Linked DNA regions of Stegostoma tigrinum. The protein of the gene in region 1 interacts with the protein of each later gene in a biochemical or structural test. Links are inferred from orthologs where the notes say so. Each region holds a gene or a part of one and is shown on either strand. Other genes may lie near its edges.

What was found.
Region 2: the proteins of platelet-activating factor acetylhydrolase IB subunit beta (region 1) and neuronal migration protein doublecortin-like form a complex in vitro, tested with the Homo sapiens proteins (2 studies listed by BioGRID). The link is inferred for Stegostoma tigrinum from reciprocal best matches to the Homo sapiens genes PAFAH1B1 and DCX.

The regions. Positions count from the first base shown.
Region 1 is NC_081380.1:36,238,008-36,253,324, reverse strand, and holds the start of platelet-activating factor acetylhydrolase IB subunit beta, read left to right. Parts: upstream 1-6,624; 5' UTR 6,625-6,847; coding exon 6,848-6,891; intron 6,892-15,317. UniProt on the Homo sapiens protein: Regulatory subunit (beta subunit) of the cytosolic type I platelet-activating factor (PAF) acetylhydrolase (PAF-AH (I)), an enzyme that catalyzes the hydrolyze of the acetyl group at the sn-2 position of PAF and its analogs and participates in PAF inactivation.
Region 2 is NC_081368.1:24,968,327-24,983,930, reverse strand, and holds the start of neuronal migration protein doublecortin-like, read left to right. Parts: upstream 1-8,950; 5' UTR 8,951-9,288; exon of another isoform or gene 9,289-9,306; intron 9,307-13,319; 5' UTR 13,320-13,357; coding exon 13,358-13,730; intron 13,731-15,604. UniProt on the Homo sapiens protein: Microtubule-associated protein required for initial steps of neuronal dispersion and cortex lamination during cerebral cortex development. May act by competing with the putative neuronal protein kinase DCLK1 in binding to a target protein.

The DNA.
Region 1 (15,317 bases):
AGTGTGGGGAGAAGTGAAGATAATGAAAAATACTTGAAAATAGCTACTGGGTCTGTTGTCTATTTTCTTTACCACATTTTACAGAGAGGTCAATAATCATGGGTCAGAAGTTTAAGTAATTGACAGAACTGTTCAAGGCAAATTGAGCAGACACTTTGTTTTTAACCCAGGGAGTGTCAGGGGATCTAGAACTCTCAGCTTCAGAGGGCAGTGAAAAAAAAACCTGCACGTACCTTTGATGTTCTATATGTGTCACGGCTCAGGATCCAGACCTGGATCTCACATTGAATCGTAGAATCCCCACAAAGTGGAAGCAGGCCATTCAGCCCTTCGAGTCCACACCAACGCTATGCCTGTAACCATGCATTTCCCCTGGATAATCCACACAGCCTGCACATCCCTGGACACGAGGGGCAATTTTAGCATGGCTAATCCACCTAACTGCACATCTTGGGACTATGGAAAGAAACCTGAGTGTCTGGAGGAAACCCACACAGACACAGGGTGAATGTGCAAATTCCATACAGACGAATAATGTACCAGAAATGTTGAAGAGTTGAACCTGGGTCCCTGACACTGTGAAGCAGCAGTGCTAAATCACTGAACCACCATACCGCCCTTCTTTTTAACTGTAGAGACATAATAGACCGAATGACCTCCTCCTGCGTCACAAGTTATTTCTATGTAACACCTATACTGTGTAACCACAAATCAATCATTAGTCAATACAACTCAAAACAAAATTACGAGGATCACTCAATTTCTTTTGAAGATGAGAGATTTTTATGTGAATGCATGAAATTCTTCAGTATCCAAGGAAAATTTGCTGACCACAATAAGCAATAGCTTTGATCTCTGAAGTCACTTAGATGAAATCTCACTTCCGATAACAATTCAGAATTAGCATTTTCCAGTTTTAAACCAAGCAATCACACTTGGATGAGGTAACTAAGGAAATTTAGATGCATTGTACAGGGCTTTGGTGAGACACACCTGGGGTATTATGAATGATTCATTTATCAATTGTATTGACATTTTATGGATAATTTCATGCAGAAGAGTGCTTTCTGCTGATCAACATACAAGCCAGGAATAGGTCCTAGTCTGATGAACTGAACTGCAACCCTTTAGGCTTGTCCTGCTTTTTAAGTAGATTATAGATGATAGGCAGCAAAGTGTGCTGTGCAGAGGACACAAGGAGGTTGCTAACAAATATAGATAGGTTTAGTGACGGGGCAAAATTATGGCTGATGGTGTACATTGTGGGAAATTGTAAAGTTGTTCATTTTGGTTGGAAGGACTAAAAAAAAAGCCCTATTTAAACACAGAACAAGTGCAGAACCTTGGGTACAAAGGGATCTCAATGTTCCAGTACATGAATCACAAAAAGATAGTACGCAGATACAGATAGTAATTAAGAAGGTTAATGGGCCGCAATCCTTCACTACAAGTGGAACCGAAAAGTAAGGAGGTTATGTTTCGTTTATACATATCATAGATGAAACAACTTCTCAAATATTTTATGCAGTTTCGGTTGCCTTACTCAAAGGTTGAGAGGGATTGGTTAGGTTAGCAGAGGTGACTGGGTGGCTGGTATGTAATACAGAGTAATGCCAACAGCACAGGTTCAATTTCCATTCCAGCTGAGGCCATCATGAAGGTTCCACCTTCTCGATCTTGGCCCCCACCGGAAGTGTGATAACTCTCAGGTTAAACCACCATCAGTTGTCTCTCTCTTATGAGAGAAGCCCTATGGTCCTCTGGGACTATGGTAACATAACATTATATATTTAAGGTTGAATGTAAATGTATTGGAGGTAATTCAAAGGAGATACTAAATTGATATCTGGAATGAGCTGGCTGTCTCATAAGGAAAGATTAGATGGGCTGGGTTTGTTTTCACTGGGTTTATGAAAAGTGAGAGGTGATTTGATTGAAATTTACTGAATGGTCGTGACAAGGCGTTTTCTCATGCGCATGGATACAGAATTTTGGTCTTTATACTGCATCCCCCATCAAGACTTCTCACTCATTACTCCTGTTATTAGAAACACACAAGCCAGCTCTCCAAAGCTTCAGGTTTCCAATGAATTCCAACGAATTTTTAAATGTATTCATGGCCCTCTTTGACCCTCCTTAGTTCCAAAAGCACCTCCAGTTCTTCAATGCCCATCCTACAACTTAGATTTACATTCATACCTTTAATTTGTGAACATGTTGCAAATACTGAAATGGTGGAATATTTTTGTTCACTCAGCATCTGGGCTGCTTTGGCAAGATGCACTTTTACATGCACGTTATTGTCTGAAATATTTGACAGTGACAGTACAGACTCCCATTTATTTCAATTGCATTGTTCACCGAGAATCTCTCCCACTCTTATCATCTGACATCGTTGTTTTGGAAAGATTTCCAGGATGATACGTGAACTGTTTGCCTGCCCTACGAATAAACCTTCCTTGGCCATGAAGTCTGAACTGAAAGGCATAAACCTAGAGCTTGTGTGTCAGTGGCAGAGATGCTATCTACTGTACACAATTTCTCTCCACCTCACCCCACCCACTCCACCAAGTATTGCTCAGAATTGACAAAACTAGATATCAGAGCGAATTAGAAAAGGTTGTTCAGAGATACATTTTGAGCAGTCCCTTAAAAGAGAAAAGAGAAATAGTGAGATCAATCGGGTCTGCTTCTCAGTCTTCTCTACTGAGAGAAAAACAAGCCCAGTCTATCTCGTCTCTCTGGATTGCTGAAACTCTCAAGCAACTTCATGGTGAATCTCCTTTGCATCCTTACTCGTACAATCACATTCATCCTATAATGTGGCAACTGCAGTGTCACAGTACTCCTAGCTGTGACCTAATTAATGTCTTATATAGAAGGATCACTGGACTAGATGTTTCTGATCTGCTGAGCTTCTCCAGCAATTTCTAAATTTTCAGATATTCAGCTTGGGAAATTCTTTGTTTTATTCCAAAATAACCTCCCTTGTCATGTATTCAATGCCTCAAGTAATAAAGGCAAGTATCCATGTCTTCTTAACCACCTTATCCACCTATACTGTTGCTTTCAAGTATCTGTGAGTATTTATTACCAATGTTGCTCTGGTTCTTTGTACTTCTTAGGGTCCTTCAATTCATTGTGTACTCCCTTGTCTTTTTTGTCATGCCAAAATGAATCACCTCACACTTTACAGGATTAAATTCCATTAGCAAATGTTCTGCTCACCTGACGAGCCTGCCTATATTGTAGTCTAAGATTCCTTACTATTTAGCTGATGAATTTTCAAGTCACCTGTGAACTCATCAAACCTCCTGCATTTTGATCTAGATCGTAAACATACACTACAAGCAGCAAGGAACCCAACACTGAACACTTCACTATGCCAATAGACACAGGCTACCAGACACAAAAACAGTCTACTGTTATCCTCTATATCCTGCCACTAAGCCAATTTTAGATCCAATTTGCCAAATTGTTCTGGATCCTATGAACCTTTTGACCAGTCTTCTATGTGAGGTCTTGTCAAAAGCCTTACCAAAGTCTAAATAGAATACATCCACACATTCTGGTCACCTCCTCGAAAAACCTCAATCAAACCTATCAGATACGAACTTTCCCTGACAAACCCATGCCTACTATCCTTGATTAACCCTTGCCTCTAGAAATGGAGATTAATTCTGTCCCTCAGAATAATTTCGAATACTTTGCTTACAACTTTATCCTGGCCATTCTTCTTGAATTCTGGTACTATATTAGGTGATAGATATAGTACAGATGTCAAAGGTAGGTTCTTCACTCAGAGTAGTAAGGGCATGGGATGCCCTTCCTGCAACAGTAGTAGACTTGCCAAGTTTAAGGGCATTTAAATGGTCATTGATTAAACATACGGATAATAATGGAGTAGTTTAGGTGAGATGGGCTTCAGATTGGTTTCACAGGTCGGCGCAACATCGAGGGCCGATGGGCCTGTACTGTGCCATAGTGTTCTATTTTCTATTAGCTGGCCTCCCATCTTCTGGCACCTCTCGTGTTCATTAGTTCCAACCCACTCAACCTCTTCTTCCAGGAATGCACCCAGTGAACCTTCTTTGAACTACTTCCAATGTAATTATGTCTCTGTTTACTCAAGATACTAAAATTAAACACTGGTCCATGTACAATCTCACCAGTGGCGTTTACAGTTGTTAGAAGAAACTTCTTTTTTAAACTCCATCCTGATTGCTATAAAGGTGGAGATGGCCAAGGCTAATGGAGGGATTTGAAAACAGGAAATAAAGGTGTTGTTTGGCTGGGAGCAATAACAGGAAGAATAGGTTTTGGTATCAACTGGGACCATCAGTTACCTAGTTGTTGTAAAGATATATGGGATGTCCTGACCAATTGAAAGTCAGCATCTAAACAGCAAAATCAAAGACTATGCAGAAGTGTCCGACCAACAATTGAAATTAGCCATGGTGCAGGTTTTCTCCACTGAATTGGCCAATCAATAGACTCCAACAATTTTCTTTGTTTTAATCATTAAGCTGTTTTACCAATTTGCTGATACTGGCAAATTTGATTCATCTGTCCTATAAACCATACCATCTTTGGTCAAGGTGGTGATGTTTTCAGTTTAGTCATAATTTTGATCACATTCCACACACCATTATCAAAAACAAACAATCTTTAGGACATACAAAAACACTAAGAACTTCAGGTCTGAAACAAATGAAAACAGAAACTGCTGGAATAGCTCAGCAGGTCTGGTAACATCTGTGGACAGAAAACAGAGTTCATGTTTTGAGTCCAGTGAGCCTTCAATAGAACTGAAAGGAGTGAGGAAATATTGATACTTATGATCATGAGGTGATAGGGGTGGGGTAGAGAGGGGCAGAGATGCCCAGTAAGAGGGAAAAACAGGAAGCAGACAAATGAATTGTTGTTAATAAGCCAGGGAAGAAGAGATGAAAACAGGGATAGGGTGGGCTATGGGGAGAGCAACACATACAGGACAGGGTCTGGGAGTTTGGGGTGAATAAGAGACATTGGGGAGGTGTTCATATTCAAAAATTGTTAAACTCAAGTGTTGAGTCAGGAGGGCTGTAAAGTGCATAGGTGGAAAGTGTGGTGTTGTTTGTCCAGCTTGCATTGAGTTTCTCTGCGGTACTGCAATAGGACTGAGACAGAATGGGAGGATGGGAATGTGTGGTGTGTTAAAGAAGTAGGCATTTGGAAGCTCAGGGTCATTTTAATCGATGGAGAATAGGTGTTCCACAAAGTGGCTGCTCAATGTGCACTTTGTCTCCCCATTGTAGAGGGGACCATATTATGAGCAGTGAATACAGAGTACCAGATTGAATGAAATGCACGACTTCATCTGGAAATTGTCTGGGGTTATAGATGGTGAGAAGGGAGGAGAGAAATGGGTGAGTTACACACATTCTGCAATTGCATAGGAAGGTGCCATGGGCACATAGAGAGTGTTGGAAGTGAAAGGGGAACAGTCCCTGTGGAATGCTGATAAGGGAGGGGCATGGGTGTCTGGCAGTCACATCCTCCTCAAAATTAACAAATAGCAGCTTATGATCTGTGGAATGCAGAGGCTGGTGGGGTGTAAAGTGAGCACAGGAGGGCACCCTATCTTTGCTGTGGGATAGGAGAAAAAGGGAGGGGGTGAAGGGAGAAGAGCAGAAAATGTTAGATATGACTGAGGTCACTGTCGACCACAGATCAGGAGAAGTTGGATGTCTGAGGCCATCCCAGCACTGTCAGAAGATGGCATAAAGACAGATGCAAGGAGAAACTGGGAGAATGGAATGGAGAGATAATGGGAACTGCAGGTGCTGGAGAATTCCAAGATAATAAAATGTGAGGCTGGATGAACACAGCAGGCCAAGCAGCATCTCAGGAGCACAAAAGCTGACGTTTCGGGCCTAGACCCTTCATCAGAGAGGAATAGAATGGAGTCCTTTTAGCAGGCAAAGTCTAAGGGTATAGTGAAGGCAACTGTGGGAGTCAGTGGGTTTGTGATGGATTTCTGTGATTAGTTTATCCATAGAAATGAAAACAACTGTCATAGAAGCCAGAAGTTGGAGATAGGCAAGTGATGGAAATTGGAAGCAAAATTCATTTTGTGCAATCCCAGACATTAGAAGGACGCAACATAATGATGTACCTGAGAGAGTTGTGGGCAGGAAATGCAGCAAGGAACTTTTAAGACATTTTCATCCCTTCAGATGCAAATCTATCAAGTAATACTCGAAAATAAATTTCGCATAACATTTAGTAGACTTTTTTTTAAAAAACGTATCTTTCCCCGCAGGACGACTCACATTCAAATTAGCTCAAGCGCGCGCGCCCCAACGGCTGTCAAACTGGGCACCGCCCTACTGCGCAGCCTCACTCGTATCCCGTCTGCCTGGGCTGACGCTATCGTTGGTGAATGGCGCATGCTCGCCAACAGTCGGGTGACGTCACTCCAATTTTTTTTACCCTCGAGTCAAGCTCCGGTTTCCTCGCTCCCTCTACTACGCAGGCGCGATGAGGCGAGGTAGCGGGCGAATCCCGGGCGCCTGAGTGAAAGGCTGGTGCAGTGCGCAGGCGTGAAGGCGAAAACAGCGTGCCGTGCCCGGTCACTTCTTCGGAAGAGGAGGAGTAAGAAAGTGGGGTGGAGGAGGACGCGACAGAGAGAAACAGACGGATTGATGTGCGCAGCCTGTTCTGCGCAGACTCCGCACGACAGCGTAGAGAGAGCGAGACGGACCCGGGCGAGAGAGAGGAAAAAAAACAGTTTGAGCGAAGAAGCGGGGGGAAGCTGCAATTCAGTTTGACAGCCGTAAAAAGAAACCTCTGGATTCTCGTCTGAATGGTCGCTATTAGCCCACCGTGTCGAAGGCGACTCTTTTCAGGGTGAGTTGGTGTAGGTTTGTAATCGCTGAGGTTGATTAAATACAGCGTTCGGTGGAGAAAAAGCTGAGGCGAGGAAAGCTTCTTTTCAGATTATGTGGCCGCTGCCTTGCTGTGTGGTAATAAAATGGCGCCCGGCCGTTGGTAAAACATTAAAACGGGGGACCTTCAAATGATCCGGCTCCGTCGCTACCTTTTTCTCTACGACCTTTGGGTATGTTTCAGACGCAGTTCCTCAAACATCATAAAGTCGCCGACGTGGCCTCATAAGAAATGGACATCCATTTTCTTTTTTGTGTATTTGTTTGGAGTTTGACCCAATTCCTTTCTATGTCGAAAAATGCAGGTTGGTATTTTTCTCCCTTTATTGCTGTGGCCGACGCCCGGATACATCGTACCCTAATCCCTTAATTTTCATTTTTTTTAAACTGTGCGTAATAGAATGGATGAGTGTACTTACAGGTTAGGAACAGTACTGATGAGTTTGGGTGGAGTGAGGAGAAACAAGATTTTTTTTACCGCAGGGTGGATCTTGACTTGAGACGCCCAAACAGGGTGTTATTCAATTATTATCAATATGTATATTAAAACAAATGTATATAATCGCCGATTTTTCTATATTTTACTTTTAATTTGGGATTTCATGATTTTTAAAAGAAACAATGCAATGTTTATCACCGTTTTTTCGGCATTAGTTTAATATTTTCATGATCGGTGCAGTGCCATGAGCCACATGTATCCTGTTTTCTGGTGATGCAGGATTAACATTACGACGTTTTTTAAACCTGCTTCTTCTTTGTCAGCTCTAGTTTTCAGAATACCCATCACTTTATGGATGCCCATAGATTTATAATGTGTGGACTTTTTGGATCATTTTTAATTTGGAACCTGATCTTGAATTGTTTGACAATAGTGCATAACCTTGCTTTTCAAATTAATATTTGGTGATATCAACATAGCTGCTCTTTACATATTAAAAACATAACAGTTAACCAGGAACAGTACCAGCATTATTTCATGTTTCTGCAAATATTTGGTCACTTTTACTCAATCAGTTTGGTAAGAAGCAAGGAAGTTTCACTTAAACAGACATATTCCAATCAGTATGACATCTTGGGTCAAGATCTAATTTCGTGTTTTTTGTAACTGACTGTAGAAAGTTGCTTGTGATCATGCTTTGCTGGAAATTATCTTTGTAAAATTGAGAAATGTGGTACAGTAACCTAAGGTGTAAATTAGTGTTTACAGCCAGTGAAAGAAAAGTAATCCAGGAATAAGTTTACATATTGAATTAGAAACTTAAGATTGGATGATGAACTATTCAAACTCTTTTTTGTACTTAAATGAGAAATCAATCAAACTGTCTTTTAAATGCAGAAGCTCAATGGTAATTCTTCCATTAATTAGTGAATAAGTATGTTTGGGGTTTGAGTCCCAACGAAGTGGTTCTTTGAAATAATAGAAAATATATAATGACTTTGTTGACATGTCAAGTGGTGAGAAATGTGCACGAGGTAACGACCACCAGAGCCCATCTATTTTCAGATTTTTGGTTCTAATGGGTTTCCAAAATTTTATATTAATGTCTTCAAATGTTCCTTTGCTTTTGGTAAGCTTGCACAAAATATGATCAGGACATCCAGACAGTTTTTTAAAATTCTAAATCTTAGTGTGAAAATGTAGAAATTAGAGCTGATAGATAATTTCAAGTAGTTCAGGGAACCATTTACAACAAAACAGAAACAGTTCTCTGGACGTTGACAATCTGAAAAAAAGGTAGAAAAATGACACATACTCAGCAAGTCGGGCAAGCAATTTGGAGAGAAAAGCAGAGTTAATGTTTCAGCTATGCAACCTTTCATTACAACTTTTGATCAAAGGTCTCAGAGATCCAACACCTTCTGCAGAGATCTGTTTTGTTTTTATCTTTAGTTTTCTGTTAAATCAGTGTAAGCAGTTTGCAAGGATTTGCAATTAACTGTTTGCTTTCCATGGTTTGTAGTAGCTTTTTATTTTATTTTATTTTCATCTATTCTTGAACAGTGGCAGTGCTGATTCTCTACATGGAAAATTTGAGTGGTTCAAAGTGAAGCAGACAATTGAGCAGAAGCAAGGAGATTGATGTGAAATTCCTAATTCTATTTTTGTTTTCAGCTATGATGTTCAACCATAAAAATCTCAGTTCAGAATACACGTTGTGTTTTTTTACAAAGTATACATTTTTCGTCGGTTATTTCAGTCACCTTGTTCAGACATGTTATGTCACAGCTGTGGTGAAGGTGTTGCTCAGTCCTGGAGCTTTTGGCCCAGAGGTAGGGTAATGGCTACTGCGCCACAGGGGTGTTAAGCATAGTCTGGGATTCTGGGTGGCGAGTCGAGTGACATGACCACTCTGCCTTGGTGGGATTTGACCCCACATCTCCCAAATATTAGCCTAGAGTTCTGGATTACCTATCTGGTGACCTGGAAGGGGCACCTGTATTTTACTTTCTATTGATTCCGTGAAAGTCTTTTAGCTGTTAGTTTTAAATGGATGATGCTGAGCTAATAGACCGAATATTAGCATTGAGAGCCTGGCCATTGTCTTTCTGAAAGGCTCCCAAAATATCAGTACTGTCAACATTCAAAATATTGTTTCTCTAAATACTTTTTAGAAAATATATCAGCAAATATTTTTATGCTTCATTCATGTTTGCAAAATGCAATCCATAACTTTGTTATTATGGGAGGCAATGGCCTAGTGGTATTATTGTTGGACTACTAATCTAGAGACCTAGGTTCTGGGGACCTGGGTTCAAATCCTACCATGGCAGAACTTAAATTCAATAACAAACTGGAAGTAAGAGTCTGCTGATGACGTTGAATCCATTGCTGATTGTTAGAAAAGCCGGTCTGGTTCACTTATGTCATTCAGTGAAGGAAACTGCCATCCTTACTTTGTATGGCCTACATGTGATTCCAGACTCTCAGCAATGTGATTGACCAGAGAGCAGTTGACAGTCAGTTAGGGATGGCCAATAAATGCTGGCCTAGCCAGCAAGGTGTATGTCCCGTGAATTAATATATTTTAAAAAAACTTCTGACCTTGAATTTACCTATGTAATACTATGTTAACATATATCTAATTTCTCCGCAGCTGAAAATGAACTGATAGTGCCCTGTTTATGAATACAGTGTCATTAGAAATTACATTGCATATGAAGAATTCCAATATACTGGTAGCATTTCAGTGGACTTCATTTTGAACAGTTTCTTGCCGTTATGTTTCATATGATTTCTTCAGTTACTTTGAACAAACATCAGCTTAAATTGTAAGATGGGAGCAGTTTCAGTGCTGCTAGTTAACCTCCAGGAGCTGCTCCTGCTCTTCATGTTTTTGCATGGTGCTTCCAGATGTGACTTGAATTCAATGATTTCATGTGATGAGATGTACAAAACTAAATTGTGTTCTGATGTTTCACTTACCAGCTATGCCATCATGGTTGATTCTATTTTAAGATTATGTAAACTTGAGCTTTCTGGAATGCTTGTTGAGATTTTGTTTCTCATATGTAGTTCACTGTCCTTGATGAAAACCAACCTAAATGTCCACATTTATTTTGAGTTTGACTGAAGTGGTTCTTTTGGTGCTTAACATTTTACCAGAATTGAAAAAGCCTATTAATTTGATTATTGCAAACTTGCAACTGATTTGAAAATTAACAGGCTTTACGACTGAAAAGTATTTTGCTTGATCTTTGGTGATTTGTTGTTATGTATAGTGTGACCATTGCTTTGAGAGAACCACATGTGAAAGGCATCCGAACTTAGTTGAATGAAATTGAATTGCTGATCTTGCAAGTACACCCAGTTAGGATATTGAGAGCTTGGATTTCGTGGCTTTGCTTTTGTTTGTATGTAAATAAGCTCCAGTTGATTACAAGCTTGAATAACTTCAGGAAATTGCTTCTGTCCTCTGCAGAATCTTGGGTATTTGATAAAACTGCTATTCTTCCTATTCTTCACTTGTGACACTGTTTTCACAACTGGAATCCAAGCGTTTCAAGTTTGTGTTGTAGTTTTTTGATCAGTGCATGTTACTGTATTAACCTCTATCACTTGCTTAAAGTAGGACAATGACGGTACTGGAAGACTGCATTTCAAGATATTGAACGTAAATGTTGAGTTTACACAATAAATGTAACACATTGTCTACAAGTGAGCCTGATTTGTAGGCAAATCATAATTTGATTCAGAATGTGTGCAGGGACTGGGGATTGGCAGCAAATTTGAGCTTGCAAATTCAAGAATCATCAAATTCTAAGTTGCGCATCATTCTTTCTCTAGTATGTCAGTCTGAGAGAAACTGAACACATGGTTAAAATTTTTCAAGTGCATTATTTTTGATTTTCTATTGTGGAGGATAGACACCGTTATAGTCAGCCATACAGCACAGAAACTGACCCTTCAGTCCAAACTAAGATAGTCCCACTTGCCTGCATTTGGCCCAATATCCTTCCAGATATGCTGACTGAAATGTCTTTTTTTAAATGTTGTAACTTCCAGCATCCACAACTTCCTAGTTCATTCCACACATGAACCACTGAGAAAAATGCCTCTCATGTCTTTTCAAAATCTTTCTCCCCTCAGCTCAGAAATATGCTCCCTAGCCTCAAACCCCCTTCTTGGGGAAGAGACCCTTTGATTCACTTTATCTGTACCCCTTACAATTTTATAAACCTGTATAAGGTCACCCTTCAACCTCCATTGGGGAGGGAAATTCCCAATCTATCCAGGATCTCTTTGTAGTTCAAACCCTCCATTCCTAGTAACATCCTGGAAAATCTTTTCTGAACTCTGTTCAGCTACCTGAACAGAATGTTGTTCTTTGCTACAATAAGATGACAGGAATGCACACAGTACTCCTGAAGAGGCCTCGTTAACAGCCTGTATGAGCTCAACATGATTTCCGGATTCCTATACTCAAAGGTCTCAGCAATGAAGGCAAGCATGCGAAATGCCACCTTAGCCACCCTGTCTGCATGTGATGTACCTATACAAGGGCCAAACATACGAGCAAATCAGTGGGACACCTGTGGGATCGCCTATCTCCGGACTCATAGCAGAAGCAGTGACGCAAAGAGTGGAAAGGACTGCTCTTCCTCAAATCCAACCTAAACTGTGGATTCAGTACCTAGATGACACCTTTTTGTTTTCATTTAATGGACCAAATTAGAAGACACACACAAACTCAACCAACACCCTCACCAGAATAAAATTCACCAGAGGAGGGAAGAACAAACAGCTCCCATTCCTGGACGTCATGGTCGAGCACAAGACAAATGGGGAGCTGCAAATGAAAGTACGTCATAAAGCCCCACACACAGGCCAGGTATTGAACTTCAACAGTAACCATCCCAGCACACACACCCAAAGCTGTGTGTGAATGCTATTTAAAAGGGCAACAACAACACTGCGGCAACGTGGAACTATGCCAAGAGGAGGAGGAATACCTTTTCCAAGTGTTCAAGGATAATGGATGTTCAAAGAACTGGGTCAGGAGATGCCTACAGGAAGAGCATCAGAAAGATTTTACGCACTCTGACACACTCATCACACTACCCTACATCAGGAACATGTCAGAACTCACCACAAGACTCCTACGACTGCTGAGCATCAGAGTGGCACACAAACCCACGTCAACCCTACGACAAGTGCTCTCCCAAACTAAAGACCACTCCCCACCATGGACAGGACCAGATGGATGAACACAGCAAATCCCCTGCAGAGACTGCGAGAAACACTACATTGGACAAACAGGAAGGAAACTAACAACTAGACTACATGAACACCAACTGGCTACAAAAAGTCATGACCAATACTCACTCATCTCAATCCACGTGGACAAGAAGAACCACGACTTTGACTGGGACAACATGAAAATCCTGGTACAGGTCAGGCAGAGACAAGCAAGAATTCTTGGAAGCACTCCATGAAGCAGGCTATTAATAAACACATTGAACTTGACCCCATATACATACCACTATGGCGGAAACCTGGAAGTGAGGCAACCCATCTCAACGGACCCCAGAGTTTAAAAACCTGGCAGGAAAACACACCGATGCTTCATCAGAGGCTGCACTGAGAATGTTACCCAGCAAGGTAACGAAACGTCTGCAGGACAACACAGCTCAGCGAGTGAGCCAACCAACCTCAACACCCACAACCCGAGCTACAGATCTATTCCAAAACCTTGGGTGTACCTTTTCGAAAGAACTATGTACCTGAACCCCAAGGTGTCTGTTCTACAAACTACCAAGATCCTACTTTTAATTGGCAACGTTCTGCCTTTGCTTGTTTCACCAAAATGCGGTATCTCTTTCTTCCAAATGAAATTCCACCTGCCACTCCACAATGCGTTGACCCAATTGATTAAGATCTGTTTGTTATCTCAGATAACCTTCTTCACTACCCTCAATGCCATCAGTTTTGGTGTCGCCCACAAACTTAACAACCATGCCTCCTGTATTCTCATCTAAAGCATTTCTATAAATGACAGACAAAAGTGGACCCAGCACTGATAACAGTGGAACACTGCTGGTGACAGGCTTCCAGTCAAGAATCCACCATCACCCTCTATCTCGGGCTAATTCAGTCAGTTGGCAAGCCCACCCTGAATCCTAAATGATGTACTTTACTAGTTAGTCCACCATGTGGACCCTTGTCAAAAGCTTTAAAGTCCAAGAAAACACTGTCTACCTCTCTACCTTTATCAGTCGTCTTTGGTTACTTCCTCAAAAAACTCAGCAAGTATGTAAGACACTGTTTTTCCTTGCACAAAACCACTCTAACTATCCCTAATCATTTGTGGCCTTTCCAAATACAGATAAATCCCATCTTTTAGAATCACCTCCAACAACGTACCCAGTGACTAAGTTAGACTCGCAGGTCTGTAGTTCCTAGGCTTCCCCTTACAGCCTTTATTTAAACAAAGGCTCAACATTAGCCACTTTGCAGTCATCTGACACCTCAACCACAGTTAAATGATGCCCATATTTCTGCAAGAGGCACTACAATTTCCTCCCTAATTTCTCAATGTCCAGAGATGCTTTAGATCGAGTTCTGGAGATGTATCCATCCTTTATATTTCATAAAACCTCCAGCTCTTCTGTAATGTGAACTGTTTTCAAAACATCAGTATTTATTGCCTTGTGTTCTCCAGCTTCTATTTCTTTGTCCACTGTAAAATCTGTTGGAGGATATTCATTTTAATATATCTCCTGTCTCCGGAAGCTCATCATGAAGACAACTTCTTCCATCTTGAATGGGCCCATCGCTCTGCTCGCGTTTGTGCTCTCTGCTGTCTCACTGTTAATGTTACTGTAGAATCTCTTTGGATTATCTTTAACCTTATCTGCCAAAGCTGTCTCACCTTTGCTCTCCTGATCTCCCTCTTGAGAATGCCCCTACGCTTTTGCTACTGTTGAGATTTATTTAAACCCAGTTGTCTAAATCTGAGATTCTTTTTGATTCTTGACTAAAACCTCTATTTATATTCATCCATTGTTCGCTAATCTTACCTTACCCTTCACTTAAACAGGAACTTAATGATTCTGAACTCGCGTTATCACATTTTTTGAAAGCATCTGGTTTTGCATCTTAAGTTTTCTGTTCATCTATAGTATGTATGGTGGACAGATTGTGGTCTGTTTTTTGTAAGGGTTTCAAGAGATGAAACAGTCCTGGATAATTGGGGTTTAAATACAAATGAGACGTAATCTAATTGAATGATGAAACAAGTATGAGGGTCTGAATGACTGCAGTTCCTAGGTTTTGTAGCAGAGCATTCAGCTGTGAATGGATAGTTGAATTCACTTTTTTCGTGTGAGAAGAAACAATAACTTATTCCAAGTGGACAATCTGTAATTGTAGCAGATCTGAATGTCACTAATATTAAAATCAGTTGTGGATACGCTTAGCATTAGCTGAATATGTACAGTGTATTAAGTACTTCCAGGAAAATATCAAAGCTTGAAATTAACACCCATCTGTTAACTAGTGAAGATACTATATGCTTAAACAGGCAGAGAACATGACTAGAGATAACAAAGTGTAGAGATGGATGAACACAGCAGGCCAAGCAGCTGCTTGAGCACAAAAGCTGACATTTCGGGCCTAGACCCTTCATCAGAAAACGTCAGCTTTTGTGCTCCTAAGATGCTGCTTGGCCTGCTGTGTTATTCTAGCTCTACACTTTGTTATCTCGGATTCTCCAGCATCTTCCCATTATCTCTCGGGAACCTGACCAATTTGATAGGTTGGTAAATGCATTCCATTGTGGCTCATGCTTTATCCATGACACACTCATCATCATGAAGCTTGTGCATGGTTTTGTAAACCACAGTTGTTTGTAAAATACATTTTAATCTCTCCTTCTGTATGTAACCCAT
Region 2 (15,604 bases), on another chromosome or scaffold:
GGCAGTGGCAGATCAGTGGAATATGATGGTCCCTTTGTTCAGGGACTGGAGATGGCAGGGACTGCTGATGCTGGAGTCTGAGATAACACAGTTACTCTTCTTTCCCAACCTGACAAAAATGTTAACTTTCCTGCTCCTCTGATGCTGCCTGGCTCATTGTGCTCCTCCAGTTCCACACTGTGTTACCCCCTTTCTCAACCTCCCTGTTTGTGTCTGAAGGAACATTAAGCACTTTGCTTGCACTGGCAGGATTTTTAGGAGTTGTCAGAAAAGACAACACATTGAGATATCTCCTGCCTTTAGGCATCACTGCAGATTTTTTTTTGTCAGGGTTTTGATGCATTTAGTCTTCTGTACTCCTGGGGCACGCACAAAATAGTGAAGCTATTCACCCGTAGCTAACAATTTAGTTTGTGAGGGCCAGGGTATTTCCACATCCTGGTGGGCCTGCGCACTGCATGTCAAGGGGCCAAACTTCTTTCAAGTTCTTCTGAAGCTTTAGCTTGTGGCTGCAAGGGGTGTCATCACGTGGAGACATAATTGAAGTCTTGTCAATAGAGACAGTGCATATATTGACAGAGAGAATGTTACACATTTGTTCCTCTTGTTCATTTTACTGTCAATGAATGCTATAGGCCGAAAATGAAAAGAAAATGAACACAGAAAAGTGGAAAGCATGCTAACTCTCTTCACCAACACACTAGATGCATCATGTCAACATGTCAGACTCCCTGCTTTGACGTGAGGCACCATATAAAGGCAGATCTATTGTTGTTACTAATTCACACCACATGATCTGACCTGGTACAAAATTATTTCAGGTTCACGACAGAATTAAACTGACAGTGAAAATCAGGCTGGCTGCAATGCAGAAAGAAAACTATCAGCAGGGAGGTTACACTGCGCTCTGTTCGCGACAAATGACAACACCTTCCGGTCATGAACCATTTCAACACCCCCTCCCACTCCCTGGACAACACGTCCATCCTGGCCTCCTCGATAGTCACGATGATGCTACGCGGAAACTGGAGCAACAACACCTCATATTCCGCCTTGGGAGCCTACAGCCCAACGGTCTTAATATGGACTTTACCACTTTCAAAATCTCCCCACCCTAGACCTCATTCTATGACCGACCTTCCCTCTCATCCGCACCTCCTTGACCTGACACAACCTGTCCATCTTCTCTTCCACTTATGCGCTCTTCCCACCTCACCGACTAATCCCCACCACTCTCTACCAGCACTCACCAACACCATCCCACCTACCTTCCCCAGGCCAAACCCTCCTCTCTTGATTTATTTTGGAGCTCTCTTCCCCTTCCCTATTTCTGAAGAAGGGTCCCGACCTGAAACGTCAGCTTTCCTGCTCCTCTGATGCTGCTTGACCTGCTGTGTTCCTCCAGCTCCACACTGTGTTATCTCAGCAGGGGTACTTTTGTGACACTTCCGTTTAACACTGTATGGAGTGTGAATCCAGTTTAATGCCAAACTTCGCTTATAGAGCATTTAGGGGTCAGTTCCAGCTCTTCTAGACATGTTGTTTATTATCACCTAGTAGGTTCTAACACCTATTTATATAAATTAAGGAACATTGGCTGAGAACTGGATGCATAAATATATGGAAGCAAAGAATAAGTGTTTGGGCCACAGACGTGCCAGGCAATGACCATCTCTAACAAAAGGGAATCTAAACATCAACTTTTGATGTTCAATGGCATCACTATTGCTGATTCTCCCAACATTAACATCATGGGGATTTAGCATTAAATGGAAGCATAACTGGATCTGTCATATAAATATTGGGGCTTCAACACTAGGTCAGTGGCACATATTTGACTTTCTGAATCCCCAGAGCTTGTCCACCATCGGCTAAGCACAAGTTAGGGATGTAATGGAATGTTTCAATCTATCTCTTGGGCAACTCAGGATGGGCAACATACACCGGTGTTGCCAATGATGTACAAATCTCAAGAAAAAATACTTTTAAAACGTTGTTCAGTTTTTCACATAGATAGTCCATAGTCTAATGAACTCAAATTAGTCCCAGTTAAAAAAAATTGAAACTAAAATTTAAAAACTTAGAATATAAAGAGACGTGATTTCTGTGTATCAACATTTAAATTAAGGTGAGAGATAATGGGAACTGCAGATGCTGGAGAATTCCAAGATAATAAAATGTGAGGCTGGATGAACACAGCAGGCCAAGCAGCATCTCAGGAGCACAAAAGCTGACGTTTCGGGCCTAGACCCTTCATCAGAGAGGGGGATGGGGAGAGGGAACTTTATTCCAGTTCCCTCTCCCCATCCCCCTCTCTGATGAAGGGTCTAGGCCCGAAACGTCAGCTTTTGTGCTCCTGAGATGCTGCTTGGCCTGCTGTGTTCATCCAGCCTCACATTTTATTATATTTAAATTAAGGTGAGATAGGTTAGCAGTGTTAAATACAGAGGTTAAAATGCAGGTTGACAGAGTCCACTCATATACTGCCCAGTCAACTTTTATTTTCTTGTTCACATGCCATAAACTCCAAACACACTTATTCTTTGCTCCCATATATTTATGTATCCAGTTCTCACCCAATTGTTTTTTAATTTATATAATTCAACCACTTAATTGTTGAATCACTCATTCTATCTGACGTATGATACATCTGACAGTTTACAAGTGATCCTGTGTTATAACTTCATTAAGGTGTTACCTCATTTTTAAGTATCTATGGTGCTACTCAGGGCATGCTCCCCCGCAGTCTTAATTGAACTAATGTTGATTCTTTGGCTTTATGATAATCTGGACTGAAAAACATGCCAGGAAAAGAGGTTAAAGATTGTGGTTGAATAGATCTCTGCTGCTAATGGCCCACAGTGCCTCATGAATGCTTAGCTTAGAGCTACTAGATCGGCTCCTAGTCAATTCCATTTGACATAGTAGTAGCAACATAGGTACAGGAGCAGGTACTGAGATCATTGATCCTAATGCTGCTGTTGGCTCTGGTCCGCAGCCCCCAACCCAAATACAATAGCTCCTACCTTAACTCAAGCACAGAGTGTCCCCATACAGTCCTGGCCTCTTGTTATTGAGCTCTAATGTGCACTCCTGTCTCATGCCCTGCAGAGGTACATGTAGAATCCTGGATGTGAGTTTGCTCGCTGAGCTGGAAGGTTAGTTTTCAGACGTTTCGTCACCATTCTAGGTAACATCATCAGTGAGCCTCCGACAAAGCGCTGGTGTTATGTCCCGCTTTCTATTTATCTGTTCAGGTTTCCTTGGGTTGGTGATGTGGACAACACACCCATCCTAGGACAAGCCAAACAGAGACACACATGAGAATTCCTAGAAGCATGGCATTCCAACCGGTACTCCATCAACAAACACATTGAGTTGGAGCCAATGTACCATCCGCTGAGAAAAATTACAGCAAATGACATCACCAATGCTGGAAGTGACATCACCAACCCAAGGAAACCTAAACAGATAAATAGAAAGCGGGACATAACACCAGCGCTTCGTTGGAGGCTCACTGATGATGTTACCTAGAATGGTGACGAAACGTCTGAAAACTAACCTTCCAGCTCAGCGAGCAAACTCACATCCAGAACCTCAACCTGAGCTACAAATCTTCTCAAAACTCGCTAACATGTAGAATCCATTAGAACAAGTGTTTGGCAGATCAGCATCGGCAGCTATACTGCATAGAACAGTGACTGGTTTATCTCATTTCATTTACAGCTAAAGTATCAAATATGCTAATGTTTTGTGCACCCACATTCTACCAAGGGCATGTCTAGAAATATCTTCAACTGCTAATGACTTGTCCTGAATACAATATTTGTTCAGAAAATTGTTGACATCCTCATTCAGTTTGAGAATTTATTGTTTGTGACTATAATCTTAAGATCTTACTGCTTTAGAATATTAAGGGCTCTTTCCCTATATAAAAACATGAGAACTAAGAGCAGGAATAGGTAATTCAGCCTTTGGGCCTGCTCCACCGTTCAATACGATCATGGCTGACCTCATCTCAACTCCACTTTCTGCCTACTTTCCATAAGCCTTCAATCCATTATTAAAAATCTCCTCTTTAATTTTACTAAATGTATCAATATGCACCTCACTTTGGGTAGTAAATTTGAGAGATTCATGACCCTTTGAGAAAAGAAATTTCTCTCATCTATGCTTTAAATCTGCTACCCCAAAACCTGGAAATATGACTTCTTGTTCTAAGCTGCCCCACATGGATCGTAGATCATCAATCATAGATCATAGATCATAGAATCTCTATAGTGTGGAAACAGGCCCTTTGGCCCAACAAGTCCACACAGACTCTCTGAAGAAACATACTTTCTAGATCTACTTTGTCAATCCCCTTTAGCATCCTATATACCTCAATCAGATCTCCTCTCATTCTTCTAAACTCCAGAGAATATAGGCCTAAAATACTCAATCTCTCCCTTCTTAAGACAAGCCCCTTATCTCTGGTGTCAATTTAGCAAACCTCCTGTGAGGGGAACAAAATTGTACATAATACTTTAGGTGCAGTCTCACTAATGCCTTGTACAGTTGTTGCAACACTTCCCTACTTTCATACTCAATTTCTTTTGTAATAAGCACCAAAATTCCGTTTGCCTTCCTTATTGCTCGGGGTATATGATTACCAGTTTTCTGCTATTGTTGTGCAAAGACGTCTGGATCCCTCTCCGCCAAAGTACTTTGAAGTTTCTCTCCTTGAAAATGACTATTGAGCCAATCAAAGCTCTGTCCTCTCACCATATCCAATTTAAACTATTAATGTATAACAGTATACACAAAAATATCTGCAGATATTTTAGATACAGAAAATAGATATGGAAAAACCCCTGTACTGAGCTAATAATGTATGCTTGGATCAACAATATGTGCCACCTGATATGAAGGAGAAAATAATATTGATTGTCACTGAATCTATTAGATTTCAGGCCGAATTTACTTTAGTAACAAACATACCCAAACTATTGCTGCAGAAGTGCCAGAAAAGAAAAGGCCAGTTTAAAAGAGTTGTATCATGAAAAATTCACCAAGGTAGATGCTTTTATTTTCCATTTGGGATTTACAGCAGGACAGTTCTGGCAGTGTCACTTTGCATTATTTCTGCCACACCCTTTCAATGTAATTTGGATTATTCAGGAATTAGCAAATGCAAAATGAGGGACCAACCAAAAGATCCATTGTATCAGTGTAAATTGTAATGAAGATTATGCGCCAGGTTAAATCTTTGATTGTAGGGAGAAGGATTAAAAACTGATGTTAACATTAGAGTAAAATAATGTTTTAATTGGGTTCAGTAGAAAACAAAGGGCTAAATATATGAGTGAATTGTAACATAATCTAAATTGAAGGAGACCTCAAGATATAAAGTAGGATATAAAGATATAAAGATGGATAAAGAGCTGAGAGCTAAAGAATGAAGGCAAATTGAGTTCAGGAATAGCTCCAGTCGTAGATGAAGTAACAACAAAACATCTAAAAACCCTTGGAGGAATTAGAAGTGATAACAGAAATCAAATATGTACAAAAATATACATACTAATTGACTTGAGGCATTCATTAGTCATATTACCTAACAAACTTAAAGATTATTTAGTTATCTCATTAAAGCGACCTTAATAACTATAATAAAAAGAAATTTGAAGCAGAGGTTGCTAAAATACAGGCTGGCTTTACACTTGGTGTTGGAACTAGAAAAGGTATTTACTCTAGGAACAATCTTTGCTGGATATTAAGTAAACAAGAATAAACGTGCTTCATAACGTATGAGAAAACATCCAATGGTGATTATCACAAACAGATAATAGAAATGTTTCTGAAATGTAACAAAAACAGTAGAAAGTCTACATTGTAAGCAAATGGAGAGGCATCAGGTGGAAGAGCGACATTCAATTTGCACGCAACAAGCTTTGGGCTGTAGGCTCCCGAGGCGGAATATGAAGTGCCGCTCCTCTGATGCAGCCTGGCCTGCTGTATTCTTCCAGCTCCATACTGTGTTATGCCCTAAACAACAGTGATCATGAAACAAAAACAGAACGTGCTGGAGAAACTCAGCAAGTCTGGCAGCATTTGTGGAGAGAAAGCGGAGTTGACGTTTCCAATTCAATGGCCCTTCTTCAGTGTTAACTCTGTTTCCTCTGCACAGATGCTGCCGGACAAGTTGAGTATCTCCAGCAATTTGTTTTGATTCAGATTTCCAGCATTCGCAATTCTTTGTTTGTTTAGTGTGATAATTATTTGCTTTTAGGTGTTCAGGGAGAACTCCCCTGGTATTCTATGATGAAGTGTCATTGGATCTTTGCCATTCATCTTGGAGTGCAGGCTTGGCCCCATTTTAACAATTAATTCAAAAGAAAAATTAATTCGGTCAGAATTGCACCGAAAATTATCCGCGATTTCATGCTTCAAAATGGGGCTTGAATCCACAGCTGAGAGGCAAGACTGATACCAGTGCACTTAACAGATCGTAAAACCACTGTTTTAAAGTAGCCGTTGATTCATTTCTTTTAAATTGAGTTATTAACAATTCTGGACAGAGAATTTTTAGACACATTAAAGATTTGCTACCACGGGGAAGGTTTCTAACCTATATTCTCGTGTTTGTGTCCATTAGCTCACTCAGTTAGATGTCCCTTGAAAAGTAGTGACCATGGACATGATGATCGGAATGAGATGACCGTTTCTGCCTCCAATTAGACACATAATTTAGGAATGTCTGACGCAGATTCTAGTTCATATTCTAAGATTTCACAAAAACCATTTCCAGATGATTCAGCACACTTTCTACAAGAGACCCCAGTCTTGCATCAACTCCACTCAATGTATTCTCTCTAGGCTCCTTTGCAGTGACTCCGAGGTGCTCCATCTAAATTTGCTAGCTTCTTGATTGATTGGGACTTTCTGCAGTGTAAGGGGCTCTTGTTGAGATGACACAGCCGTAGGCTGACCTTGCTCGGTGATCTTGGGGCCGGTGGGGGCAACGTCAGGCCCACCAACAGAGGTCACGTCTCTCTCTCATTCCTCGTTGAGCTTGAGATGAAGCTGCCTTTTTCTTCCGTTCCATGTGTTCACGGGCCTGAATGCTGAAGCATAGCAACAATACATCGTGACGGGGAGGGTCTGCTACAATTCAGGTAGAAGTTGAACAGGATGGTCCCGCTCACGTTAGAAGCATTTTGGCAATGAACAGATGCAACTTCAATAGATTGAGATTTACTAACAATAAAGCAGTGATTTAAAATCCATACCTACTCTCTGAGGGTCTTAAATTCTATGACCGGAGACGTGGTTTGCATTATTATATAAAATTACCTTGAAGAAATCCATAAAGTGTAAATGTTGGCATGCAGGTATTAATATTAAAGTTAAACACGAGAGAACAGCATATGTTCTGTCTGATGAAGGGTCTAGGCCCGAAACGTCAGATTTTGTGCTCCTGAGATGCTGTTCGGCCTGCTGTGCTCATCCAGCCTCACACTTTGTTATCTAGAACAGCATATGTTGTTTTAATGAAAATGCAATGATATAAGAGGCTGGAAGCAACGATTAAACACGCTGCCATAGAGGCGTACATTATATAAAAATTGCACGTCAAAAGATTGGTTGATATTGGGTCATAATCTCATTGTTCAGTAAACGCACAGCATAATGACGCTCACAACTTCATCAGGCAGTAACATTTTTGTAAAATATGTGTCAGTCGCAGTGAGAATGAAATGAGAGAGCAAGCCCTTTTAGTGCCTTTTGATTGAAGCCAAAAAGAGAAATAAAATTTCCACTCCTTTTGCTGCAGTCAGATGTTTTTGTGAGATATTCAAAGAGCCTCTTTCCCTGAGTAAACCCGACAATGCTTTATTTTGTTAATTGTCATATCGTTAACAGTTTTATTTAATAAAAAGAAGCAGGATCTGACACGTGGTGGTTTAGACAGTGACCAGCCCACCTGCATTTCCAATGTCTCCTTAATCACTGCGCCGCAGAGATCTAAATGTCTGCTCCCCAGCCTGTCCCCTTCTCTATTGACTACAACACTCCTCCAGGGTCCCACCTCCCACCTCACATACTACCGAGCTAGGTGTTAGGCAAACGCCAGGTTGTTTGTATCAAATCGGGAATCGCTTGGGGGCGGTGATTCAGTGTAAATCAGTCTCCTGTCAGTTTTCCTGTTCTCCGTACTGCGGATTTAATTAAAGGCGAGTGTGAATGTTTAAACGCTCATGACTGGAGAACGTGTCTCAATCCGTGAGACAGAGCCTCCTTCATACAAAGTGGTTGGGATTGACACTCTCTCTCCCAAAATCTCTCTTCACCTCCCCTCCCCCACCCAATTCCTCTCCCAAACTCCGTCTTCCTCCCCCATAACTCTCACTGCCTCCCCCAAACTCTGTTCTCGCTCACAACTCTCTGTCCTTCTCCCAATCGTTCTCTCTTTTACCAGTCCCTTCCCCCACAACTTTCCCTACCCCTCCCCCGAACACTACCACCCGCTGGCGGGGAGGGGGCAGAGGGAATGCAAGACTTCAATGAACCTCCTTCGATGCCATTGGATACATATTTTGTAAATATGATGGAGACATGCCTCACATGTGATAGGCAAATGGAGCTATTTGGGATGAAGTTATACTGTCACAGCTCAGGTTTCGTTACCCTGAGCATGAAATATTGGAGTGTTTGTGTGTGTGTTTTCGGGGTAGCTGACCACAGCCTATTCAAAGAATCCAAAGAAACTGACTACATTTTTTATTCTGCTCGCCTCTGTACTTATAAGTTATATTATATGAATTGCTTTGTTATATTCTGAGGTGTGAGAAGGCCTTTCTTTCTGCAGTAGCAGAATGTAGAATTCTAAGGCAACAGAAATATTCTGCAAACAACAGAAACATTGTTCTGATTTGAAGGAATCATTCCCCATACGTCTCGTTTTCTTCGATATTGCTTTACAACATGCGACCATAAAACAATTAGCCCAATGTGCTGACTGATAGAATTGAGGTCCATTTTGGGTACCGCTGCAGTACAGGTATATATATAATGTATGTTGTGTTTTCGTCTCTCATTCATTCGACCCCTGCGAGGCGCTAGAACGGGAAACGTGGGACTCGCTTGCAACAGTTTTAGTGGAAGACGGCTTCAACTCGCAATAGGACCCAGAGAAGCCACGATTTCTCCCGTTGTGGGTCTGGCCAGCCAGAGCGCAGACAACAAAAGCAGGCTTGGATTGTCTTTTTCTTTCTGCATCCACACCCTGTCCACACTGCACACAATTTGGTGAGTTGCTCCTTTGCTGTAAGTAAAAGACAGAGACAAAAAGAAGCAATCTCTATCTATCTCTGTATAGACATACGTGCACTATTGCTGTAGCACTTTGATCGAGTTCGGGTTTGGCATTCTGCAGTAAGATATTTTAGTCGATGTTCATTGAAAAGTGATTTATTTTAGTGTCTCTGCAGTTGATACATGGAGACGATAAGATTTCTCAAATTTTATTCTACAGCTCGAGTTCATTGCTAGATACCTGATGTTTCCTCACCTTTTTAACGAGTCGTTCCATAGTATTTTTTCAGGATTACCGCCTGAGAGTTAACATTTCCCATTCAATCTATTGTTAAATACATATTGCAGATAAGTGTTAATAGACAATAGTGTCTTCCCTTCAAGCAGATCGCTTCACCTTACAAATTTTTTCCATTGATCATGGGATTTTATATAAACGAATTGACAATCCCGTTTGTCAGCAAGCGTTATGTATATTTTCTTAAATTATACGATGTTCAATAAATCGCAATACTGAGTTCTCTTTGTTAAGATGTTCTTGACAGTAACTGATGAGACGGCTTTTAATGATTCATTTATCGCGCCTTTGTTAACAAGTGTTTAGTATGAGCCTTCCGTGTTGTGTATTCAGTTGCCCTTTCTTTACATAGCCGTTTATGAATAATACATTTTATGTGAAAACCGTTATATCAGATACATTGCACAGAGCGAGGAGAAGCCACTCCCCAGAAATTGTTACCTTAAGGCATGGGGTCAGGAGAAAATGTTCCTTGTGTTTCTGATTTCCAGCTGTAACTGGGATTATATATACAAAACGATGACTTTCGTGATTTTATTTTCTCAGATTTGTGTTTTAGTTTCGGTCACCTTTGAGGATCACATCATTCTGCAGGGCTGCAGTGAAAATTAACATTTTGATTTTTCACTTCAATAGAGGGTGTCGCTTTGGGACGCTGTGCTCCCTCCCTCAGGCAGGGTCACTCACAACACTCCCGGATTTAGATCAGCACAGGTCAGCATTTCTGCACTGCCCACCAATTCTCGTCTATAATCCACTTGAGGGAAACAAACAAAAAAACCCCTCTGCTGCACCAGCCTGTCAAGTCCAGATCCCACAACAGCTCATCGCAAGGTGAACCCAGCATCACCACTTTAAATGTCCATGATGTCAATGATCCTGGATCTGGGTAGGAATCACGTAACACGTTTCACTCCAAAACCTGCTCATATGTTACAGAGAAAGATGTTCCATCTATGAGTGTGAGTTGATCATGAAACCATACCCACAACATGGAATTAAAGCATGCCTTTAGAGGGAGATGTAGTTGTTCTGACCATAATTTAAGAGGGTTAGTCCTGTCATCATTCACTGTGAGCTTCATTAATAATGCATAGAAGCAAGGGTGCTGCTTGATTATGATTATACACAGGTCATTAAAGACTCAAGTTTTAATCCACTGGAAGCTTAACCAAGAGAAAGCCAAGTAAACTGCAGAGATCCATATTCAATCTTTGTGCCTTCTTCAATCTCAGCACAACAGCAACAATCCTTGATGTCCCCAACCTTGGGAGGAGAAATATTAACCAGGATTTCCATTCTGACATCACTTGCAAAGTGTGTGTTGGGTGAAGGGAGGCACAGTCGCATTTATTACGCCCCATTGATTTACTAATGTGTAGACATGGGTGAAGGTTGGTCACTCATATGAGGTGTGAGGGAAATTTGTGTTTCAATCTAGCCTTTGGGACAGGGGAAATCATTGATGGAAATTTGACATGACATCAACACTTATTAAATTCTGATATCTAGTCCCAATAACTGTCTGGGAATTCAGTACTATAGATGTGGTTCTGCTAAATTTAAGTTGATGAAAAGAGTATCAGTGCATTTGGTAGATGGATGAGTTTAGAAGAGGCCTGGGCTATCGTCATCATAATGGTATTGCACTAAAATGACATATCTTGCAGGTAAATCAAGTGCATTAGCTTTCCAAATATTGGCTTGATCTACCAGTGCACTAAATTTAATTTTCAGTACCAATTTGGCTCATGTTCCTATTTCTCTGTTACGAGTCGGTGTCTCGAGACCTAAGTGGGTTAGTTAGGATAATACTTCAAATCATTGCTGAGCAAGATCTATATTGTTTGAATTTTACATGATATGCCAAAGTAAGGCTCTGTCAGTCTTTTCAGGTGGATGTAAAGTAAAGAAGCTTTCCTGGTGACCTGGTTAATGCTAATCTCACAACCACCATTACTACATGCAGAATAATAGTCTTTCGTATCAACAACTGTTTTTGGGGCCATTAAAATTGGTGTCATGTTTGCATTCATAACAACAGTGACTGAACTTCAAAAATAATTCATTGTATTATGTATTGAAACGTACATTATGTTTATATAATAAATGACAGTCTGTTCATTAATGTCCTGTCCCAATTTCATGAAACGGCATTCACATGAGAACAAATTAATTTTGGAAGGATTATGGCAGAATGCAGCATAGAGGTAAATGTTGGGAGTTGTGAATATGTATCCTGGGTTAAATGAAAACTGATTTCTACACTTTTAATTAATTGATAAGTGTATTTAAATAATTCTATTTACTGCTTTTTACCTAGTAATTTCAGTAGTGTGAGCACATTAGAGATATAAAGGGGAATGTTTGGAAGTTTCATGCTCAATAATATTAATGGGAAAGCAGTTGGTGTTCATGTGGTCTGTTTACTGGTTAATTATGGCTGTTTAAAATCCCTTGGTGACTGAAAACTGGAGTCACTGCCCCAAAGGGACAAGTCCATCACAAATTAATTTTTCTGATTTCATCTATGTTAAAAACATGTTTTATTTGAACTTTTCTATTTAACCTAACATCAGCCATTAATGGTTAAATCAAGCAGTAGCTCTTCGTCACTAAATGATGTTGTGCAGGCTAAAACTTATTTTTCAAATTAGAACATTTCATAAAATTAAAAGGCTGTTAAGATGTCATTAAATATAAACTCTAAGATGAGAGTATCCAGAAAATAAGTTCTCAGGTTTTTTTTGTTGAACTTTGTGTCTTTTCCTTCATTCATGTGACATGGGCATCACTGGCTGGCCAGCATTTATTGCCTGTCTCTGATTGCCCTTGAGAAGGTGGCAGTGAGCTGCTTTTTTAAACCTCTAAAGTCTAAAAAATTAGGTCGATCCATAATGCCATTCGGGAGGAAATTCCAGGATTTTGACCCAGTGATATTGAAGATATATTTCTAAATCAGGACGGTACTGGTTTGGAGGGGAACATACAGGTAGTGGTCTACTTTGTCTTTCTTAATGGTAATGGTCATAGATTTGGAATGTCATGCCTAAGGACCTTTGGAGAATTTCTGCAGTCCATCTTAGAAATGGTGCATACTGCTGCTACTGAGTTTTGGTGATGGATTGACTGAATGTTTGTGAATGTGATGCTTTGTCCTGGATGATGTCAAGCTTCTTGGGGCTGCAGTCATGCAGACAAGTGGCAAATATTTCATGACACTGCTGACTTCTGCCTTGCCGTGGTGTACAGGTTTTGGAGAGGTGAGTTACTCACTGTAAGATTCCTAGCCTCTGTTGGAAGCAACTCATCTTGACTGAAGATCAGAATGCCCTTTCAACTTAGGAGTTTAATGTTGAGTATAGTACTGTTTGATATGATACAGAGCAAAGTTCCTTCTTGTTCACTAACGATGTGGTTCATTACAAGTCTATTGGTCCACTATAATATTTCTATTTCCAATACCAGTCTCCTGTGATCTTCGAGTGAGAATGCAAACACCTTTATATTCAAGGAATGCAGATGGTTTGGGCAGATGTTGATGCCAATGATTCCTTCACCGACTTTAATACGTATTCCCAGTTATTGAAAAATCTCCAGTTAAATCAGTGCTTTCGTCCAACTATCGAAGGAATATTCTTTGTATTAGGATATATAATGACCAGGGATTTTTCAGATGTTCATGGATGCTTGCTGTGTGTGAGCTTGAGTCTTATGTCTTTTGCAGGTTTGTTTGATCTTCAAATCTGATCAATTAACTGAAGCATGTTCCAAGATAAAGAGCTGGATTTCGGCCATTTTGACGAAAGGGACAAGACACGTTACTCAAAGGGTTCCAGGATGAATGGTTTACCAAGCCCCACACACAGCGCTCATTGCAGTTTCTACCGTACCCGAACCTTGCAGGCCCTTACTACTGAGAAGAAAGCCAAGAAGGTCCGCTTCTACCGTAACGGAGATCGGTATTTCAAGGGCATTGTGTATGCTATATCTGCAGATCGCTTCCGTTCTTTTGACGCCCTGCTGGCAGACCTGACCCGAACCTTGTCTGATAATGTGAACCTCCCACAGGGAGTTCGCATTATCTTTTCCATTGATGGGCTTGGGAAGGTTACCAGCCTTGATGAACTGGAGGAAGGTTAGTAATTGATCATTTTGGTATAATGCCAGAAATAATCTCCCTTGCTCCTTTTAATTTTGTTTTTAGTATAATAGCTCGGATTATATATTACTGCCTAACTATTGTTTGATTGTACAGGGCCACCTTACAGCGTGTAACGATGGGATCGATATGTAGGAGCATTGGGATCATATCATCCGATTTCATTATGTTTAAAGTTTGCATATTTAAATGCGTATGTTGAAGCACAAAGTCTAATTGTCTGACTGACCTGAATTCAAAAGGGAGGATCTTCATTGCGTAGTTGAGCTGTAACAATCTCATTATTCCTTTCAATCCTAATGTTTAAACTCCTATCCCTATTCCCATCCATTCTTTGTACCAGTGTTGAAATTCCTAATTAAAGTGTCAGAAATGACACTGGGTTTCAGATTTAAGTTTGATGTAAATGATCACTATTTTGGAATGATCAGCAATATTTTCATGTAAGTTTCAATATCTGGTGGATTTTGACTATTTATTTCAATGTTTGTTTAAGTATTATCATCTGTTATTATCCTTATTATTGTGTGGTTGTTCATATTATTCATGAGCAGAGCCAGTCTATATGACTTAGTTTTAATTTTGATCTTAGTTGCTCTAATACCAATTTCACGGAAATTTTAAGCATCAAGCTTCAAGGTCTGACACAGCAATAATTGAGCCTCCTTACATATATCTGTCATTGAATAAGGTAGCTGGAAAAAATTAGTCTGCTGGTTGAAATATAGCATATTTCCAAAATGTTAACCTCAGGGAAGAGTACAAACAGTTGTTTTGCTCCACCATGTAGCACAGGGGCAAAATTGTGGATTTTGTATTAAATCACTGTTGTTGGAGGTTCTAAAGAGCAGTTCGTGACATATTGGATGGGTGAGAGTGTTTTAAAGAGGGACAGCTCAATGCTAAAAGTAATCCAACGGCTGGTTTCTCTCCTTTACTTTCTGTTTCCATTGTCAACAGGGCCAGAGTTGATCCAAAGTAGTGAGGATGATTTTCTTGGCTGTCGCTTGTCTGCCACATGGGAATAGAGTTCCTCCAAGAGCAGGGTGTGACCCCAGCATTACATCACTTACATGTCTGGGTGACTAAACGGGCAGTGCACCCCAGCAGCAGCTGTGAGATAATTCCCTGCAACATGCTACTGTGCCCCAGCACATTCCACCCAACGAGAAACTATGTTAGCAAAAATATTAATAGCTCTTATGGCTAAAATTAGTTAGTTCAAACTCTGGGATTTAATAGTTCAACTTACTTTGAAAGGCTTCCTGAGGGTAGACATTTTTGACAGAGGGAGACAAAGTAAATTACAAAACAATTGTATTTTAGTCAAGCCTCTTTATTATGACCAATAAATGGCTGCACCCCAATTTGTCACTTAAGTGGGATCACCCTTAAGAGTGTCCATAATGTATTTGAATTTGATCCTGCCTTTGGGCAATAATGTTACTCTTTCTGCCTCATTTGATTTGGTGCTCCTGCATCAGTCTCCCCATGTAACAAATGTTATTTGTTCAACAGAGTTCGTATGTTAATGGTTGTACGTGCAAGTGATGGAGAAAACTAGAAGTGATAGAAGTCAGTCAATAAAAAGCAAAAAATTGCGGATGCTAGAAGCTGAAACAAAGAAGTAGCTGGAGAAACTCAGCAGGTCTGGCAGCATCTGTGGAGCAAAAGCAGATAAACATTTCGCATCAAGTGACCCTTTGCTTTTGCTTCAGAAGTTAGTTGATCACTGGTAATACCAGTAGCAAACATTAAACTGAATAACTAACCAATTGGATAGTAACGGGCACCTTAGTATTCACATAGTAAATGTAAATCAAGTCATGTGAGTTAATAATCGCTCCGTT